Linked DNA regions of Macaca fascicularis. The protein of the gene in region 1 interacts with the protein of each later gene in a biochemical or structural test. Links are inferred from orthologs where the notes say so. Each region holds a gene or a part of one and is shown on either strand. Other genes may lie near its edges.

What was found.
Region 2: of the proteins of H2BC21 (region 1) and STK4, one has a biochemical effect on the other in vitro, tested with the Homo sapiens proteins (2 studies listed by BioGRID). The link is inferred for Macaca fascicularis from reciprocal best matches to the Homo sapiens genes H2BC21 and STK4.

What each region holds. Positions count from the first base shown.
Region 1 is NC_088375.1:111,387,392-111,393,528, forward strand, and holds H2BC21 (histone H2B type 2-E), read left to right. Parts: upstream 1-3,057; 5' UTR 3,058-3,099; coding exon 3,100-3,480; 3' UTR 3,481-4,760; downstream 4,761-6,137. Other genes in the region: H2AC21 (histone H2A type 2-B), read left to right, coding at 1,823-2,215; H2AC20 (histone H2A type 2-C), read right to left, coding at 2,376-2,765. UniProt on the Homo sapiens protein: Core component of nucleosome. Nucleosomes wrap and compact DNA into chromatin, limiting DNA accessibility to the cellular machineries which require DNA as a template.
Region 2 is NC_088384.1:101,096,005-101,101,961, forward strand, and holds part of STK4 (serine/threonine-protein kinase 4), read left to right. Parts: intron 1-2,158; coding exon 2,159-2,287; intron 2,288-2,932; coding exon 2,933-3,119; intron 3,120-5,957. UniProt on the Homo sapiens protein: Stress-activated, pro-apoptotic kinase which, following caspase-cleavage, enters the nucleus and induces chromatin condensation followed by internucleosomal DNA fragmentation.

The DNA of each region.
Region 1 (6,137 bases):
TGGTGAGAATAAAGGAGGAAACATCAGAAAAGGTGTCAAAGAATAAGATTTAAGTATTTTCTGGCCGGGTGCAGTGGCTCACGCCTGTAATCCCAGAACTTTGGGAGGTTGAGGTGGGCAGATCATAAGGTCGGAGTTTGAGACCAGCCTGGCCAACATTCGAGATTTGAGATCAGGAGTTCGAGATTAGCCTGGTCAACATTAGTAGAGATGAAACCCCATCTCTACTAAAAATACAAAAATTAGCCGGGCATGGTGGTGGGCGTCTGTCATCCCAGCTACTTGGGAGGCTGAGGTGGGAGGATCGCTTGAACCCGGGTGGGTGGGGGCGGGGTAGAGGAGGTGGTGGTGGAGGTGGCAGTGAGCTGAGAAGTGCTCCAGCCTGGGCGACAGAGCGAAACTCCGCCTCAAAAAACCAAAAAAACCACAAGTCTATTTTTTCTCTCTATTATTCTACCTGACCTTAAGGGATACTAAGGAAAGGGTGAGAATGGTGTAGGAGATGTAGAACTCCCAGAGATGGGACGTTGAGGAGGAAGAAACACAAGAGCTTTCAGATTCATCTGTTATATGGGATAAAAGAAAAAAAGAAGAGCTTTCAGGAAAGATTTCTAAGGCCGCTGGAGTCACACCAGCAATTAATGCCTGACAGCAAAGTTACCCTTTCCCGGCTGTTGCTGAAATCTAAGGGATGATGATGAGGTGGACAAGGGAGCGTGGAGAAAAAGATTGAAGGGATATTAAGGAAGCAACTGACTGGACATGCTGAGACGAAGGGAAGAGTAGAGTAGATTTCGGCTTAGTTATCTGTAAGTATGCTGGCGCATTTCAGGAAGAGGGCAAAGAGGGGAGGTTGTTTGCAGGAGTTCGCGTTCGAATAGGCTGAGGTTGAGTTTGAGTTTGAGGTGCTCGTTGGGACAAGTAGTAGATTGAAGTATTCAGTAAGCAGTTAGGCACAAGGGTCTGAGCTTCTGAAACAAATTTGGATGTTAGTTGAAAGCATATAAATGGGTAAGACTCTTCGGGATAAGTGAAGAATTGGAGATAGAGAAGCAGAATCCAGCTGGACTCGCAGATTTAGAGATGGCATGGGGAAGCAGGATAAGAAAAGTCGGCGAGCTAAGAAGAAAAACGCAGGGCGACATTTTGAAAGCCAAGGGAGTAAGCTTCAAGGCCGCCTCCTGGAGGTCAAGAAGATGACAGATCTAGCCTTGGTCAAACTGAATTCCAAGGAGTGCAGGCGGGTGGGGGTGGGGCGGAGTCGCTGCGGGCGACTTAAGTTGAGGGGCGAGAAAGGAGGCAGCCTTAGTAGTACTTGTATTTTTAAAGGGAATTTGGCTGTGACGAGACAGAAAGGGCGGAACTTAGTAGTTTAGAGCTCAAGGGGATAATTGGCTTCAGAATCCCCTACTCTTGCGTGAGAGTAACTCTCAGTCTACGGATGTCTTCTGCAGTTTCTTAGGGTCCATGTTGGGATTTACCGGCTGTAAACTAAACAAAGCAAAGCAAAACCCCATAGTACAAGACATTTTGTTTGAAAGCCTACTTTCTTTAAAGATCCTGCCATGCAAATAAGGGGCTTTAATGTGGCTCTCAGCGATTGGTAGATACTTACGAAATCCGTCATTTCCTTTCAGGGCAGGATGCAAACCAAGAGGCGGCTTTCTGTTTTTCTATTGGCTGTTGGATACGGCTCCGCTTTTAGCCAATCAAACGACTTCCCTTCACCCCTCCCGGTAGCTCTTATAAATTACATCAAATTGGTTATTCTTTCCACATTCTTCTCCTTGTAAAAGAAGCTGTAACTGCAATTTTAGCCGTAATGTCAGGACGCGGAAAGCAGGGAGGCAAGGCCCGCGCTAAGGCCAAGTCGCGCTCGTCCCGCGCTGGCCTCCAGTTCCCGGTGGGGCGAGTGCACCGCTTGCTGCGCAAGGGCAACTACGCGGAACGGGTGGGGGCAGGCGCCCCGGTGTACCTGGCGGCGGTCCTCGAGTACCTGACCGCGGAAATTCTGGAGCTAGCAGGCAACGCGGCTCGGGACAACAAGAAGACGCGCATCATCCCTCGCCATCTGCAACTAGCCGTGAGGAATGACGAAGAGCTCAACAAGTTACTCGGGGGTGTCACCATTGCCCAGGGCGGCGTCTTACCCAATATCCAGGCTGTCCTGTTGCCCAAGAAAACGGAGAGTCACAAGCCTGGCAAGAACAAGTAATTAAGAGGCTTGACACCATACTCATTCACCCCAAAGGCTCTTTTAAGAGCCACCAAAGTGTCAAATGAAGGGCTGATCACGAAATAGCGCATTAGCTCTTTTTTTGAAAACTTGGGTGGCTCTAAAAAGAGCCTTTGGTCTTTGGTTTGTTTGTCTGCATTTATTTGCTTTTGGCTTTGTGGCTTTCAGTTTTCTTTGGTAACAGAACGGCCTGGATGTTAGGCAAAACGCCGCCCTGGGCGATGGTGACTTTGCCCAGCAGCTTGTTCAGTTCCTCGTCGTTGCGGATGGCCAGCTGGAGGTGACGAGGGATGATGCGCGTCTTCTTGTTGTCCCGAGCCGCGTTGCCCGCCAGCTCCAGGATCTCGGCGGTCAGGTACTCGAGGACCGCCGCCATGTAGACTGGCGCGCCAGCCCCCACCCGCTCCGCGTAGTTGCCTTTGCGCAGCAAGCGGTGCACTCGCCCTACCGGGAACTGGAGGCCAGCGCGGGACGAGCGCGACTTGGCCTTGGCGCGAGCCTTGCCTCCTTGTTTGCCACGACCAGACATGACTGAAACCAAGGTTAAACACAGACAATGCTCAGAACCTCGCTACAAAATAAGCTTGAAAGAGAACCAAGAGGAAAGCCTTTATAAGCTTTCCTAGGGGTGGGGTCTAGAACGAGTTTTTCATTGGTCCTAATATGGCTTCAGAACCGGCCAATCAAGTCAAGAGTCGGTGTTGTTGCGTACGCATTGCTGAAAACGCAAGGTCCGCACACGGACCAATGGAAATGAATGACTTTCGGAGCCCTAATTTGCATAAGGTGGTTATAAAAGAATCAGGCCCGCCCATTCTCTTACTTCTTTTCTTGGCTAAGCCGCGTTTGTACTGTGTCTTACCATGCCTGAACCGGCAAAATCCGCTCCGGCTCCTAAAAAGGGCTCCAAGAAAGCCGTCACCAAAGCCCAGAAGAAAGACGGCAAGAAGCGCAAGCGCAGCCGCAAGGAGAGCTACTCCATCTACGTGTACAAGGTGCTGAAGCAGGTCCACCCCGACACCGGCATCTCGTCCAAGGCCATGGGCATCATGAACTCCTTCGTCAACGACATTTTCGAGCGCATCGCGGGAGAGGCGTCCCGCCTGGCGCACTACAACAAGCGCTCCACCATCACGTCCCGCGAGATCCAGACGGCCGTGCGCCTGCTGCTGCCCGGCGAGCTGGCCAAGCACGCCGTGTCCGAGGGCACCAAGGCAGTCACCAAGTACACCAGCTCCAAGTGAGTCCCTGCCGGGACCTGGCGCTCGCTCGCTCGAGTCGCCGGCTGCTTGACTCCAAAGGCTCTTTTCAGAGCCACCCACCTAATCACTAGAAAAGAGCTTGTTCACTTACTCCCTTAGTTTCTTCTCATAAAGTAATTTTAGCGTAAAGGTCATGGGAAATGCCACACGTAGGTTTTTAACCATTTGGAACTTGAGGTCCCCGGTGCATGATTGGATTTGCTTTTGAATCTAGAGCGTGTCTTCACTCATTGTGCTGCTTAGCATTCCCAGGAGTCGGTTCTCAATTAGGATGTTGGGAATCCGCCTCTTTACCCGCCCCCACTCCCGCCCCACACTGGCGCCCTGGTGGCTTCTTGGGTCTGTTTCATTCTAAAACGAAGTGGCTGAGTTCGGCTGTTATTTAAGAGAACTCCAGGGCACGATTCAGCCCAGGTTCCGCAAACACTGCGTGACAGCTGTGTATGACTGACGCTTGGCAGCACCTTTTGTGTCCGGTCACCAGTTCTGCTGTGCGATGGGGTCTCCTGTGGATACCAGCCGTTCTGTGTATTTTGGACGAAGCCCGCGCAGCCGGGTCCCAGCCTTTTCCTGATTGGGCGACATGAATATTCAAAATTCTGCGCCTCTTTCTAATTTGTAGATTTCAGTTTCCGTCGTTCACTTTGAGACTTTGAAATTCCTATTTCTCGTTTTGTTGATAATTTTTGCATTTAATGGTCTCTGCTTTAAAGGGTAAGGCTGCGGCCCCAGGTCACTGCGAGGCACTTACCGTGTAGATACGGGCTCAAAAGTCACCTGTCAGAGATCTACGTCATCCACTAAGGAATTCGCGCCGCTCATACTTGCCTGTCTCATTTTATCTTCCTTCTAGCAGCTGTCTGAAATTGGTTCGTCTGTTTTCTTGTTTATGGTATTCTCAAGCCCTTGACCGGCTGGTGTGGTTTTCCCGTGCATCTTCAGCCTGGCACATTATGGACACTTACCTAAATACTACGTATTGATGTAATATTGTTGGGTTAGTTTTTCCATCCCATCGTTTTCTTAATCGCTTTCGTGGATGGATGATGGGTGCTGTTCATTTCCGTTAGATGTATGTGAAGGCACGGTGAAAATGGAAATGTTTTTGGAGCTACTTCCTCAAATGTGTCCTTAGTCACCTCAGTGCAACAGCTGGGAGGGGGCCGTGTTAAGATTTTTTTTGCATCAAAGAGGAGGTGGCAATGGTAGATCCACCCTTACGCTTCCCAGTTTAGCATAACCTCTTTTGGATTTTCATCAAATTCAGCGTATTGGTCACTGGAAAGAGCCTTTTCCTTCTTTTCTTACTCTCCCCTCTTGGTGTTCCCCTCTTAAAGGAGAGGAGCTTTTAATTGACAGTCATCACCTCATTTTTTTTTTTTTTTTTTTTTTTTTTTTTTTTTTTTTTTTTTTTTGAGACGGAGTCTCACGCTGTTGCCCAGGCTGGAGTGCAGTGGCGCGATCTCGGCTCACTGCAAGCTCCGCCTCCCGGGTTCCCGCCATTCTCCTGCCTCAGCCTCCTGAGTAGCTGGGACTACAGGCGCCCGCCACCGCGCCCGGCTAATTTTTTGTATTTTTAGTAGAGACGGGGTTTTTTTTCACTGTGGTCTCGATCTCCTGACCTTGTGATCCGCCCGCCTCGGCCTCCCAAAGTGCTGGGATTACAGGCTTGAGCCACCGCGCCCGGCCATCATCACCTCATTTGCTTTCCAGGAGGCCATGCAAGATAGGCAGGACTACAGGGTTAATCTCCTTTTTACAAATGAGGCCAAGGGAAGCCTCATTGGTTCACAGTCATGCAGCTCATACTGTCCACCCTTGTATTCTCAGATGCAGGACAATTGCATTTTAGTTTTATTTTGTGGAGGTACAGAATATTTACTCTTTCTGTCCAACCCTTGATTCTGCCGAGGAAGACACTGATGGTTTGATGAGTGATTCAACTCTGTTTTTGGCTAAGGGTTTTGGAGTTGATAGCAGGGGTCTGATGAATCCAAATGAGCTCTAGACATTATCACAGACTGAATAAATCTTTTTTTTTTTTTTTTTTTTTTTTTTTTGAGACGGAGTCTCACGCTGTTGCCCAGGCTGGAGTGCAGTGGCGCGATCTCGGCTCACTGCAAGCTCCGCCTCCTGGGTTCACGCCATTCTCCTGCCTCAGCCTCCTGAGTAGCTGGGACTACAGGCGCCCGCCACCGCGCCCGGCTAATTTTTTGTATTTTTAGTAGAGACGGGGTTTTTTTTCACTGTGGTCTCGATCTCCTGACCTTGTGATCCGCCCGCCTCGGCCTCCCAAAGTGCTGGGATTACAGGCTTGAGCCACCGCGCCCGGCCAGACTGAATAAATCTTAACTGTCTCCTACATGTGTGTTTTCAAATGTGTGTAGATGCTATTGTTATTAATAAAGTTACCAATTAAAGGCTTTGCTGGATTCTTTTATCTACAGTATATATTTCTCAATGAAGGAAATTAACAGATACAACTTACACAGGGTCTATAGAAAAGCATGGGTGCCTCTGATCTGGGGGATGACTATTTATAAGCCACCAGCCAAACTGCTGCCCCAAAGGTGCACTAGGGCTGAAATAGTCGCTTACAAGGCCACTGTTAATGCTTAGTAATTGAAAAATATATGATC
Region 2 (5,957 bases), on another chromosome or scaffold:
TGGTTAGGAGCTTGGATCCTGGTCAGATTGCCCAGGTTTGAATCCTGGCTCCCAATTTACTAGCTTTGTGATCTTGGGCAAGTAACTTAACCTCTCTGTTCTTTTAGTTTTGTGATCTATAAAATGGGGATACAGTATCTGCCTCATGTGTTGTGATGATTAAATGATATAATGTGTGTTACTTTGAACAATGTTCACATGTACTGAAGACAGTATGGTATGAACTTGATAAATATCAGCTATTATAATTGGGCTAGGCCAATCATTTGCAGCCATTTCAGACCCAGTGCCCCCTTTTTATAACAATGTGTATATTTAAAAACTCTCATTACTTTTTTGGAATGAAACTCACATATAATAAAACTTTTTATGCCTGTAATTTAAAAAGAATCAATATTGTCTGTGATGTGATGGAGAAAAGTAAAGATAATTTATAATGAAATAATATGACTTTCAATTTGCAAATAATTCTGCCTGACCCAGTTTGCAGACATAATGAAATAGATACCTGTGCCTGGCATCATGAATGAGTTTAGATTTAAGAGCTGTAAGAAAATCAGAAACTAGCCAAGCACAGTGGCTCATGCCTGTAATTCCAGCACTTTGGGAGGCTGAGGCAGGCGGATCACTTGAGGTCAGGAGATCAAGACCAGCGTGGCCAACATGGTGAATCCCCATCTCTCCTAAAAAAATACAAAAATTAGCTGGGCATGGTGGCACATGCCTGTAATCCCAGCAGGAGGCTGAGGCAGGAGAAGCACTTGAACCTGGGAGGCAGAGGTTACAGTGAGCTGAGATTGTGCCACTGCACTCTAGCCTGGGCAACAGAGCAAGACTCCATCTCAAAAAAAAAAAAAAGAAAGAAAGAAAATCAGAAACTATGCCATTTAAGAAATACAGTAAAAAGAATGAATGGACACTAGCATGAAACTGATGTTAAATAATAACAGGCCAGATTTATTTGTCTCTGATTACAGAAGGTGGGATATGATCTTGTAGCTTTTCCAAGTGGAAAGAACAAAGCAATATGATATTATTGCAAATGAGTTGGGTCTTATTTCTAAGTGGATTGCCAAATTCTTTTCCTACCTGGATGGGGTAGTGACAAAATGTCATGGAAATGTATCTCCTGTATTGCAATCTGATCACATTTTGAGGTATACTTTACATCTCTGGAGTTCTTACTTGGAACTTGTATCCTTTGATGGGTGATGGAGAACAGAGAATGGATTGCCAAGAAACAATGGGGACAATACTAGAGTAAGTTTGGAAGACAATAGGCAATTCCCCAAAAAGAATTTCCATGTGTAACTTTCACAGCATAGATTTCTTACCACGTGCTACAAATACAAATAATAAAAACATACGATGGTATTAATATTAAAAACTTATAAAGCAATTTTTATTAATGAAATTGAACAATATCCCTTTGTTTCAAGTATCTTTGGTGATTGAATAATATTTGGGTCAAAATCTGTTACATATATATGATCAGTTTAGTATTTCTGTAGCAACTGCATTTTTGCACTAAAATCCTTTTTACCTAAATGTGTAGTTGGAAATGCTACTGTAGAACAAGTCAGATGAGTAGATTTTTCAGTGATTTCTAAATAATTTCTTCATTCCATTAAGCTCCCCTCTCTAAAATCACCTCCCAAATCACTGGCCTTTTTGCATATCTCTTGAAAACATTTTTTTGGTATTATCTACTAAGGTGTGTACACAACCTGAGACATTTGAAAGATGTGCAGAATCTGCCACAGTTCCTTGTTGTACAGGACAGTTCTGTACTTTGCAGAATTGCTAGTGTCCCATGCCATTTGTGCTCACCAAACATTGTGACAGCTATAACATGTTCCCAACATGTTTACACAACTTCCTCCAGGAGATGATACTCCCTATTGAGAATCGCTAGATTTGACAGAGAGAAATGGCATAGGCATTTCAGCCAGGCTGAAAAAGATGGGCAAAGACTGAATTTGCTCTGCTCAGAGTTATAAAGGGAGTGTGGTTTAGCTGTTGTCCAAAGCACAAAGAGAAAGATCAGATTCATTGATTGATTCAACACATGTTATCCAGTACCTACTGTATTCTAGGTACTGTTTTGGCACTGTCACCATATAAATTGTCCACAGTATTTTTTACTTTATTCTTTAAGCACCCATTTGTCAAGAGTGCCAAAGGAGTGTCAATACTGCGAGACTTAATTAATGAAGCCATGGATGTGAAACTGAAACGCCAGGAATCCCAGCAGCGGGAAGTGGACCAGGACGATGAAGAAAACTCAGTGAGTGGCAGCCATTGCTGTGGGCCTCAGGCATTGATGCTTGTTATTTTATGATTGCCAAACCAGGTAAGATGAATAGGAGGTATTGGATCAACTTGGAGCTGGAGACTTCCAGCATAGCTATGTCCTAACCTGGACCAACTCATGCTAGAGGGTTGCTGTATCTGTACTTGTTCTTCTCCCAGTGCTTCCTATAAAACACCTTCAAATTTCACTCTTTTGCCCCCCCATCTTTTACTCAATTTAACTTTTTATTTAGAGAGAGAATGCTCAGGTCTGGGATTTGGCTTTTCATATCCTTTTAGGGAATCTGGGATCCATACTTAACATGTAGCTTTTATATTTATAGACTTCCTCACAACCCTGAGATTCCAAAGATGTTCACATGAGTTTCTTAGATCTATGTTGCAAAACTCTATTAAGAAGAGTGGAGGAAGAATTCCTTTAGGGTTAGATACAAAGCTTATTATCATGTGGATAAGTTTGTCATCTTTGCTTAAGTAACAGTGCTTTCATTTCTGGAAGGTGAGTTTAGGACCTGAGTAAGTGTTAAATGTCGAAATATTTTCACTAAGTAGTAGCTATTCAGAAAACTCAGCGTCTTTTGTCAAATTAGCCCCAATTTGAGATTGTATCTGTTCACAGGAAGAGGATGAAATGGATTCTGGCACAATGGTTCGAGCAGTGGGTGATGAGATGGGCACTGTCCGAGTAGCCGGCACCATGACTGATGGAGCCAATACTATGATTGAGCACGATGACACGTTGCCATCACAGCTGGGCACCATGGTGATCAATACAGAGGATGAGGAAGAGGAAGGAACTATGAAAAGTAAGGCTTATCTAAGTAAATCCACTGACTTCTCAGATCAAGCATACATATTTCAGAGAAGACAGATTCTCATGGTTTATGCAGGCTTAGCTTTGAGTTCTTTCTTTTGTCACAACCAAAGGAGTAGAAAACTTGGAGGTTTGCAATGGGGGCAGGAGGTTTGGGGAGGGGGAAAGCTGACCTGTGGAGTCAAAGTCAAGAAAGCATCAACAGTGAGAAAGGATTTTGCTTTTGAACCAGAACAGCCATTTTCTCATTGAATGGTGTCATTATTTTCCTTCCTTACCTTGATCTTTGGAAGCACATGCATTGTTTGATGCATAATTCCTATCAAGGTGTAATGACATTCTGAGTTATTTACTGTACATACATCTTCAGTTTATTTTCATGACAGTTTGGGTCTAACGCAAGTTTACCAACACTGTCAGTCAATGAAAGATGACTGGACAAGTTGAAAAGTTCCATCCAGTTTCTTCTACTTTAAACTCATCTCTGCTTCTTTCCATATCTGGCTGATCCTTTTTTGCCTGTAACTAGGCCTAACACCTTGTGTTCAGCTCCTATCTTAGAGTGAAATTCTTGTGTCATTCAGTGCTTGTGGTGCTTTATGTTTCATCCCTTAAACTCAAGATTAAGGCACCCTAGAAATCCCATGTTTGGTGATATACAAATTATCAACTAAATGCCATGTACTAGATTGCCCTTCTCCTCCTCTTCTGTTTTAAAAGTATGTTCATTTTGCAGTAATGAGTTACTGACCTCTGGTTCTTTTCATTGACTCTGAGTGCTAAATCATCTGCTTGTCTTAAGGGGTTTAATTATGTAGATGATTATAATCACTGTGCAATACAACTAGGCCGACCTGTTAGCATGTGTTGTGTATGCACGTGTTAGGGAAATTGTGCCCATTTTTATTCAAAGAATTAATTTTTTTCCAAATGTGATTTTCATAATTCAAATGCTAATTCAATGAGTTGTTTATTCTTTCCAGTTTCTGAACTTGGATAGTTTTAGCATGTCTAATGAGAAACATGCATCTTTTATTATAATCATGAAGAGAACTATTTAAAAACCTAAGCAGTCACAGTCTGAGTAACATTAAATAAAATTTGTTCACAGACAGTCTTTTGCAGGTTTTGTAATTCTTCCTTTTGGATTACAGATTTGACAGATTTGCCACTTATTTTGAGATTTAAAAAAATTCCTTATTGTTTTAGGAGTTACTTAAATTTGGAAAATTAAAACATACATACAATTACACAATAATATCATGACTCCTGTGGACCTATATCACTCAGCTTCAGCAGTGATCAACTCACTGCCCATCTTATTTCAGCCCACTTCACCAAAAAGCAAATAGTAAACACTCTGTAAAAGTATTCATTTTTAAGGCCATAAAAAACGGGGAGAGGAGGAAGGGGAAGAAAAGATTCTTAAGGTAATGGAGACTTCAGAGTCCTAATTTATAGGACATGCTATGACATCAGTGGTATTTTGGGTGAGATTTTTTTTTCCCCCAACGGCAGGACACATTATTGAAATTGAAGTGACATGAGAGGGTCTTTGTCAGTGTTAGGATCACTGTGCATTCTCTGGGCCAGCAGAGGGAGCTCTGTATTAAGTTAATGGGTTAAAATTGTGTTCCCATTCGAGTTCACAAATGCCCTGTATATAAAGGTAGGCTTTATGCTAGAACAAGACCATTATTTATTCATTTTTAAGTGTATTTTAAGTAACCACAGTGATATTAGGGCAATGTCTTTATTTTATTTAGTTGGGAGATTGGATACCTCATACTTGGCAAAGTTCAATTAAGAAGTCAGCTAAAACATCTCAAAATAGTCACTTTTTCTCTCCCTTCCCAGATTTCTCAGTGGACTTGACACAATTGGTGTTCTTTTTCTGTAACATGGTACCATGCATATAGTTTTGAAACTGTAATCAGCTAAAATGGCCTTACTTGAATAATTGAATAAATTTTTTAAAAACCTAGTAATTCTTAGTAGAACTGACTTGAAAGTTCTTGTGTAGAACTGACTTAAAAATATATATATACACACATACATATATATATATTTTAAGTCAAGTTGTTGGGAGCCAGGACTAAGGCTTATGTTACAGTAAATTACAGTAAAAGTATATATATTCCTGATATATATCAGGAATTTGTTTTTATTTACAATATGAGCTCTAGTAGTCTGTTTTATTTTTCCATCTGAAAGACTTGCTTCCTCCCTCTATCCAGGTCTTTGATCCTGTCACCTTCTCAGTCGTTCTTTGACCATTTATCTATAATAGATTTCCCATCCCCTTCTTATTTTTCTTTTCATCACAGATTACTTCTTGAAATTTATATCACTATTCTCCCATATAAATTTTTTTTTTTTTTTAAGATGGAGTCTTGCTCTATCACCAGGCTAGAGTACAGTGGGGCAATCTCAGCTCACTGTAACCTCTGCCTCCTGGGTTCAAGTGATTCCCCTGCTGCAGCCTCCTGAATAGCTGGGACTACAGGCGCATGCCACCATGCCTGGCTAATGTTTTGTATTTTAGTAGAGATGGGGTTTCACCGTGTTGGCCAGGATGGTCTCGATCTCCTGACCTCGAGATCCCCCCACCTCGGCCTCCCAAAGGGCTGGGATTACAGGCGTGAGCCGCTGCACCCAGCCTCTCCCATATAAATTTTAGGATCAGTATATCAAATTTTATAAAATACTACTGGAATTTTGACTTAATTGCATTGGATATATAGATTAATTAGGCAGAATTGCCATCTGTATGTTAATTCTTTCTGTGCATGAACATGGTTTATTTATCTTTCGATCTGTTTGATCTATC